Macaca mulatta: one gene and its partner. The protein of the gene in region 2 interacts with the protein of the main gene of each other region in a biochemical or structural test. Links are inferred from orthologs where the notes say so. Each region holds a gene or a part of one and is shown on either strand. Other genes may lie near its edges.

Region 1 (4,829 bases), on a different chromosome or scaffold from region 2:
TGGGCCTCATGTCCCCGTAGCCCACAGTGGTCATGGTGACCACTGCCCACCAGAAGGCATCAGGGATGCTAGAGAAATGGGTCCCCTGGTTGTCAGCCTCTGCGAAGTAGACGGCACTGGAGAAGAGGATGACCCCGATGAACAGGAAGAAGATGAGCAACCCCAGCTCCCTCATGGAGGCCTGCAAGGTCTTGCCCAGGATCTGCAGCCCCTTGGAGTGGCGGGAGAGCTTGAAGATGCGGAACACCCGGACCAGGCGGATGACTCTGAGGATGGCCAGGGACATGGCCTGCTGCCCATTCTGGCTGCCTCCTCCGCCCCCTGGCTGTTGCTCTGCCAGCTCGGTGCCCAGGGTGATGAAGTAAGGGAAGATGGCCACCACATCGATGATGTTCATGATGTTCCGGGAGAACCCTGCCTTGCTGGGGCAGGCGAAGAAGCGCACGAGCAGCTCGAAGGTGAACCAGATGACGCACGTGGTCTCCACGATGAAGAAGGGGTCGGCCAGGGTCCTGGGCAGGAGCGGTGCCACCGTAGGGCCAGAGGGCGGGGCCATGACCCCGCTGCCGTTGGTCCCAGGGGCGGGCGCGGGAGGCTGGTGGGGCGCTGGGGGGTGGCGGAGCAGCTCGCGTTCATCCCTGAACTCGGGCAGGGTCTCCAAGCAGAAGGTGATGATGGAGATGAGGATGACCAAGACCGAGACGATGGCGATGGCCCGCGCGGACCCAGAGCTCTCCGGATACTCGAAGATAAGCCACACCTGGCGCTGGAACTCGTTGCGGGGCAGGGGCTTCTCCTCTTCTTTAATGAAACCCTCATCCTCGCGGAAGCGCTCCATGGCCTCGTCCCCCAGCTGGTAGAAGCGGATCTCGTCCGCGAACACGTCCAGGGAGACGTTGACCGGCCTCCGCAGGCGGCCCCCCGACTGGTAGTAGTAGAGGATACCGTCGAAGCTGGGCCGGTTGCGGTCGAAGAAGTACTCGTTCCTCAGGGGGTCGAAGTAGCGCAGGCGCTTGGCGGGGTCGCCCAGGAGGGTGTTGGGGAACTGCGCCAGGGTGCCCAGCTGCGTCTCGAAGCGCAGCCCGGAGATGTTGATGTGGACGCGCTGGTGGTGCAGGGACGCCGTGCCCAGAGCCTGGTCCTCCACCGTGCCCAGGCCGGGGTCGCCTTCTTCCTCCTCGTCCTCGGGAGGCGGCCGTCGAGGCTGTGGCAGCTCCTTGGGCAGCGGAGGCAAGGGCCGCACTCCCGGGTCCGCGTCTCTCTGCGCGCCGCGCCCCTTTGGCGCCGGCTCCTTGGGCCCATCGCTGAGCCCAGCCGTCGGGGGACACTGGAGCTCTCCCCCTGTGGCCTGGCCGCAGCCTGCCCGGGCCTCATCGCCTCCTCTGACGGTCATGGCACCGCCGTTCTCCAGGGGCACCAGGGCGATCTCCATGGCGCGGGAGCAGCGGGCATGCTGCGCCCCAGCTGACCTGCTCCCGCGCCCCCTACTCACGCTCCCCGGGCACCTCCCGTCAGGCTCCGCTCCCGCGGTCGGCCGGCCCCTCTCTGGGGCGAGCTGGGGTTGCTGGCGCGATCCCCTCGCTTGGCCCTGACGTCAAGAAGCCGCTGCCCTGCTCTCTGCCTCTCTCTCTTCTGGCAGCCCGTTACCAAGCAGCCGAAAAGCCTCCTTCCAGCAGATGCAACCTTCAGCCGTCCCTCTCTGGCTGCGCTGCGCTTGGCCTCCACCCTCGGCGCCTCCCCCGCCTTCCCCTCTCCCTTCCCCCTCCTCCTGCTTCCCCTCCCCCTCCTCCCGCTTCGCCTCCCGGGTCTTGTGGCAGCCAGTGTCTCCCCGAAGGGCGCAGCTGGTGCCCCTAGCAAGGGAAAGGAGGGGCTGAGAGGGGTGCAGCCCAGCGGAGGGAGGGAAGGAGTGGGGAGGATGGAGGAACAGGTTGTACCGAGAGCGCTGAAATTCCCAGGGCAACCAGATGAGAATAGCTCTGGATTTCGGTTCACCTGGGAACCCGCTGGAAGCCGAGTGGACTCCAGGGGGAACGAAGTGCCTTGGGCTAAAGGGAAGAGGCTTTGAGCTGAGTCGGAGTATGAGAGACAGAGACAGGAGACACCAGTCCTTTTTATTTTGGAGAAATAACGGTATTTCTTTGGGAAGAATTACAGAAGGGAGGGGGCCCACGTAGTTTCGGACCTTGAAATACATATATCAATGGAGAAGCATCTCTCTTCTCGTCTTCCTGCAGATCCACAAAAATGTACTAGAGGGTTGGAAACTTGCAGGATTCGCATGCCCTAGCCTGTTTCCAGTATGGACCCAGTGGCAGCCCAGGCAAGCAGCCTAGTCAGTAGATGGGCTGTCTGGTCTCAACCCAGCAGAACCCCTGCACCCTCTCCAACGAATCCCATTTGCGAAAACCACACCAGGGGAGAGGAGAAGAGATTTTTACAATCCTAGTGAAGGCTAATCCTGTCTGGTGAATCTTGGAGCTAACAACTGCATCTAGGTCCATGAAGGAGGCAGAGGGTGGAGGTGGCTTATGAGAGGGAGCCAGGGAGGCTGTCCAATCTCCAAGGCTGGAGAAATCCCAAGAGTGGAATAATAACAACCAATACTTACTTCGCTGTTATTATGCACCAGCCCATTCTCAGCACTTCACAAATATTGTCTCTGCGTATTCCTACAGCAACCTGTTTTGTAAGTACTGTTATCATCACCATTTTACAAACGAAGAAACTGAGGCACAGAGAGATTGACAGACTCACCCAGGCTCACACAGTAGAAAGTGATGATGCTGGAACTCAAACTCAGACAATCAGAGTTTGGCCCTTGTCCCCTGTATTTCACTTCTCTATAGAAATGCATAATCCCTTTTCCTGATACAAGCACTCCCTCACTCCAACATCTGGCCTGAGAACTTTAGTTCCCTGCTGCAGGAGGCAGGAGGATGGCTGATATAACATATTAATCTTTCTAGGTTGGGACACTAGAGAATCTTCCCCTGCCCTGTGTCTACCGCTACACGGTTTTAGCAGGCATTGGTAACCAAGAGAAATCTGTTTCAAGGTGTGTGCCTGGAACTGCCAGACATAGTCTCCAGAAGTTTCTTGGTTTTAAATTATCATAAAGTGGCTGTGTTTTTGAATGTCTGTTTTCATTGTCTATTTTTATTTCTGTATATTGTTTCAGATTTATATGCGTGAAGTTAGGACCTCTTGTCAATGAATGTCTCTATCCACAGGGTGTGATTTGGAAACTTGGTCCTGGGTGCATGAGTGTGTGTTGCAATAGCAGGGCATAGACATACAAACTTGGGTCAAGGTTTGAGAAGTGTGTGTACATATGGCTTTTTAAGAGTTTATACGTGAAAATGGATGTGAATTTGGTGTACGTATTTTCATTGTGTGTGACTGTGCATATTGTTGGCTGTCTTTGCAGATGTGCATGAGTGAGGAAGGGCATGAATATGAAAATCAGTATGTGAAGGCATCACTGTTGAACCACAGGGCCTTGCATTCCCTTTCCCCATATCTATGCTATCCCTGCTTCATCTCCAGTGGGCTTTTTTTCTTCTCTGGCTCTGAGATTGCCAGTTAGGATCAGGTATTTTCCTGGGGAGGCTGGGACTTACTGAGCTTGTCTACTGATTGATGCATCTTGTAAGTATAAGGATGCCATATTCGTTCACATGGGTTCTCCTCGGGCTCCCCAGAGGAAAGAGTTCTCTGGAGCTTGTCTTTCAGGGGCTTTCTGGGAGATTGTTCCCTGAAGAATAAGAGTACAACATAAACAGTCCAGGAAAAGCACAAAACCCAGGCCTCCTTTAATGTGGTATTTCCTTAAATCTGTTTCCCATGCATTTGCCAGTTCTTATAGGTTTCTTGCAAAATTACCTTCAGATGCCACATGTGGTAGCCATGGAGGTATACTGCTCAAGTCTCCCTTAAAGAAAGAACTTGCTTTTCAACTGCCAGAGTGCAGTTAGCTGACCGCCTCCAGCTGTTGTCACTTTCTGGCTCTGCCTCAGCTTTAGTGCAGGGGCCAAACTCCTTCAGGGTAGCTCTCTGAGCACAGCAGGGTTACAAAGACCATTTCTACCCAGTGCAGATTTCCACTAATGGGCAATCTTTGCTCTGCATTTCCCCAACAGATTGGCCAAGACTTTGAAAGATCTGCATTGCACTCTGAGACTCTCTCTGTCCAACCCCTCTTCCTCCCCTCTTTCCTTTCACAAGTGCCAGATCAGCATCATAATCTGAATGTTTTCCCTAATGAACTCTTCTTCCTATCACTTTTATCTTTCTTTATTATCTCCCAGTAAACCTCTTATACTCCTAACTCAATCTTTGTCTTCTTCCCAGAGCACTCATTATATAACTGAAAGCTGCCTTCTATACTGTCTATCTAATCCTACGAGGTTAACTCTTTTATAGCAGTGCTTAATGTGCACCATTACCTGAGGATTTTGTTAACATGCAGACTCTGAACCAGGGTAGGGCTTAGAGTGCATTTCACACAGCACCCAAGTGATACTGATGCACCTGTCTAGAGATCACATTCCCATAAGAATAGATTTTTATCTCTATGTATGTATGTATGTATGTATGTATGTATGTATGTATGTATGTATCTAGCTATCTAGCTATTGTGTCTACGAATGGTATCTACCACAGTATATATATCTATCCATCAATCTATCTGTCTATTTACCTACCTACCTTTCTAGCTAGCTACTCTCTAGTTACCTATTTATCAATTTATAAGTGATAGGTAGGTAGATGAGAGAGAGGGAGGGAGCTAACAGAGAGATAGAGATATTTTGAAATCAAGAAACATTTTT
Region 2 (3,187 bases):
ACCCCATCTCAAAAAAAAAAAAAAAAAAAAAAAAAAAAATTCATCATTGCTGTTGTCGTCGTGATTTTAGTAGGGAGTCATAACCACCACCCACTCACATCCAGTCAGCACATCGCAGTTTCCGAAGCACCAAACACATTCCACTCCACCTCCCTTCTGCAGGAAAGGGTCCTGAAGCTCTCTAAGATGGCTTTAAAATGGATCCACAAATTATTTGGCATTCCTTTCTTCAAGAAGTGGAGCCTAATTCCCCTCCCCTTGAGTGTGGACTGAACTTAGTGACTCACTTCTAACAAATAGAACAAAGCAGAAGCAACAGTGTATGGCTTCCAAGACTGGGTCGTAAGAGGCACTGTTTGTGGCTTCCTCTTTGCTCTCTCTTCTGTCTCATTGTGGGGAAAGCCAACTGCCATATCATGAGAAAACTCAAGCAGCAGCTCTAGGGTTAGCCCTACATGGTGAGGAACGGAGACCTCCTACCCACAGCCATGTGCATGAGCAGTATTGGAATGGATCCTCCAGCCCCAGTCAAGCCTTCAGATGACTGCAGCCCTAGCTGACAATTTGACTGCAACCTCATGAACGACCCTGAGACAAGAACAGCCCAGCTTAGCCCCTCTCAAATCCCTGACCCACAGAACCTAAGAGATAATGAATATTTGTCATTTTAAGCTGTAAAAATGTGGGGTAATTTGTCACACAACAATAGATAACCAATACACTCTCTTTGGCCCATGTGGTAAAAGTCTGTTCTTCTCCAGGGAAAGGTGCCCCAGTCCTTGGTCTGGTCCATCTTGGGACTGCAGGGGCCACCCCAGGACCCAAAGGCCAAGGCACAGACCACAGACACTGGGCCAGGCTGCCTGTGTCTCACAGGCTGTTTATTTATCCAAGAGTAAGGAGGAGAGAGAGGATGAAGAGAAAAACCAGACTCCCCAAGGTGGCAGGGCTGAGGGGAAAAACAAACAAAGTCTCCTCTTGTTTCTCTTGCCGCTGACCCCAGGGGACTCCAGCTTCAGATGGGACCTCTAGGGGTGGCTTAGGGGCCTCGAGGAGGCCTGGCAGCTCAGCTGTTGGCTGGGGTCAGGATCCGCACAGGGGCAGGTCCCAGACTCGGAATGGCTTCTGTGTACACAAAATATCTCTCCGCAAAAGGCACTGGTGGTGGGGGGCAGCAGGAGGGCCACCCCATCACAGGCAGAGTCCACTCTGTCCTGGGTCTGGGTCCTGGGCCCCGGGCCCCAAGACCAATCCAGTCTCCCTCAGGGGTGGGGTCTCAGAGGCCCTTGTTCCTCTCCTCTCCCTTCCCTCAGCCCAGGGGTGAGCAGGCAGTCGGTGGAGGCCCAGCTCAGGCCATGTCATGGATACCCCTCTTCAGGGCTAGCGCATCCGGTGACTTCTAGGCCAATAGCCCAAGGCGGGTGACTTTGGCCGAGAGGAAGGAGTGGATGATGAAGACTATGGTTTTGGGACACGAGTGCAGGTCCAGCTGCTGCAGGGTGGATGGAGAGAAGAGTCAGGGCCCTGGCCAGCCTGGCCTCCAAGAGTGCATACCCCCTCCTCCCCAGGGTGCAAAGGCAGCCCCTCACTCACGATCTCGCCTTCAGCACCTCCAAAGTCCAGGAAAAGGAGACTGGCACCATCATCTGAAGACATCTGCAGCTTCTCAAAGGGCTGTCGCAGGAGCACAGCTCGGGCTGCACCTGGCTCAGCCGCCCACAGTGTGAAGCCCTTGTCGATGTGCACAGACAGGCTGCAGGGACGCCCGTTCCATGTGCAGGCTGCAGGGAGGGCACATAGGTACAGGCACAGCTGGCACCTCAGACACTACACCCCAACCTCCAACCCCCACCGCAGCTTACAAAGTGGGGCCTGAATGCCTCCAGGGACGGGAGGCTCACTGTTTGTCGTGGCACCTGTACACCCACCCTGCAGAGAGTCATCACCCCCACCCTCAGAGGACCTACACCCACTTCCAGTCCACAAGTAGAAAGGGGGAGCTTAAAATCTGCCATGGACTGGAGGCTCACTCCTGATAAAGGCATCATCAGATCGACCAAGCACCGCCCTTGGAGACCTGCAGAGTTGCCCAGCTAAATTTAAATTTCAGATAAACAATGACTAATTTGGGCATACTTCTATGAAAAAAGTATTCATTGTTAACCTGAAATTCAAATGAGGCTGGGTGTCCTGTATTTCCTCTGGCAACCCTACCCCAAGTGCCATCTCTCACATCCTCACCAGCAGATTGACAAAGCTGGAGCAAGAAAACCCCAGGGAGAAGAGTCTCTGCCTGCCAGGGCACCTGCACATCCAAAACAGAGGGCCCAAACCCAACTTCCTTTTTTTTTTTTTTTTTGGAGAAACAGTCTCACTCTGTTACCCAGGCTGGAGTGCAGCGGGCACAATCTCAGCTCACCACAACCTCCACCTCCCGGGTTCAAGCGATTCTTGTTCCTCAGCTTCCTGCATAGCTGGGACTACAGGCACCTACTACCATGCCCAGCTAATTTTTGTATTATTATTATTATTATTTTTTTTTTTGAGACAGAGTCTTGCTCTGTTGCCCAGGCTGGAGTGCAGTGGTGCAATCTGGGACCACTACAACCTCCGCCTCCCAGATTCAAGCAATTCTTCTGCCTCAGCCTCCTGAGTAGCTGGGACTACGGGCACCCGCCACCACACCTGGCTAATTTTTGTATTTTTAGTAGAGACAGGGTTTCACCATTTTGGCCAGGCTGGTCTTCAACTGCTGACCTCAAGTGATCCACCTGCCTCATCCTCGCAAAATGTTGGGATTACAGGCATGAGGCACCACACCCAGCCAATTTTTGTATTATTAGTAGAGATGGGGTTTTGCCATGTTGGCCAGGCTGGTCTCAAACTTCTGACCTCAGGTGATCCACCCACCTTAACCTCCAAACCCCATTTTCTGTCCCCTCCTGAAGTGCCCTAAAGAAGGAAGCTTGAATGCCCCTGGGGATAAGAGGCTCATTACCAGAGGGACACTCCCAGATCCTCCCAGCACACCTGTAGACACCTCCTGCACACCCTCGGCGGCCCGGTGACAGCCATCCACCAGCTGGCGGGTCCAGGCAGCCAGCTCCTGCGGTGACTCCACGCTGAACAGGTGAGTGTCCACACCGTGACGCGTGCCCGTGCGCAGGGCAAAAGAGAGCTCTGCATC

The links. The genes of interacting proteins can lie anywhere in the genome.
Region 1: the proteins of SNTA1 (region 2) and KCNA5 interact in a test that uses a peptide from one of them, tested with the Homo sapiens proteins (2 studies listed by BioGRID and IntAct). The link is inferred for Macaca mulatta from reciprocal best matches to the Homo sapiens genes SNTA1 and KCNA5.

The regions. Positions count from the first base shown.
Region 1 is NC_133416.1:5,946,800-5,951,628, reverse strand, and holds the start of KCNA5 (potassium voltage-gated channel subfamily A member 5), read right to left. Parts: upstream 3,129-4,829; 5' UTR 1,433-3,128; coding exon 1-1,432. UniProt on the Homo sapiens protein: Voltage-gated potassium channel that mediates transmembrane potassium transport in excitable membranes. Forms tetrameric potassium-selective channels through which potassium ions pass in accordance with their electrochemical gradient.
Region 2 is NC_133415.1:86,164,132-86,167,318, forward strand, and holds the end of SNTA1 (alpha-1-syntrophin), read right to left. Parts: coding exon 3,031-3,187; coding exon of another isoform or gene 2,999-3,030; intron 1,782-2,998; coding exon 1,594-1,781; intron 1,493-1,593; coding exon 1,400-1,492; 3' UTR 850-1,399; downstream 1-849. UniProt on the Homo sapiens protein: Adapter protein that binds to and probably organizes the subcellular localization of a variety of membrane proteins. May link various receptors to the actin cytoskeleton and the extracellular matrix via the dystrophin glycoprotein complex.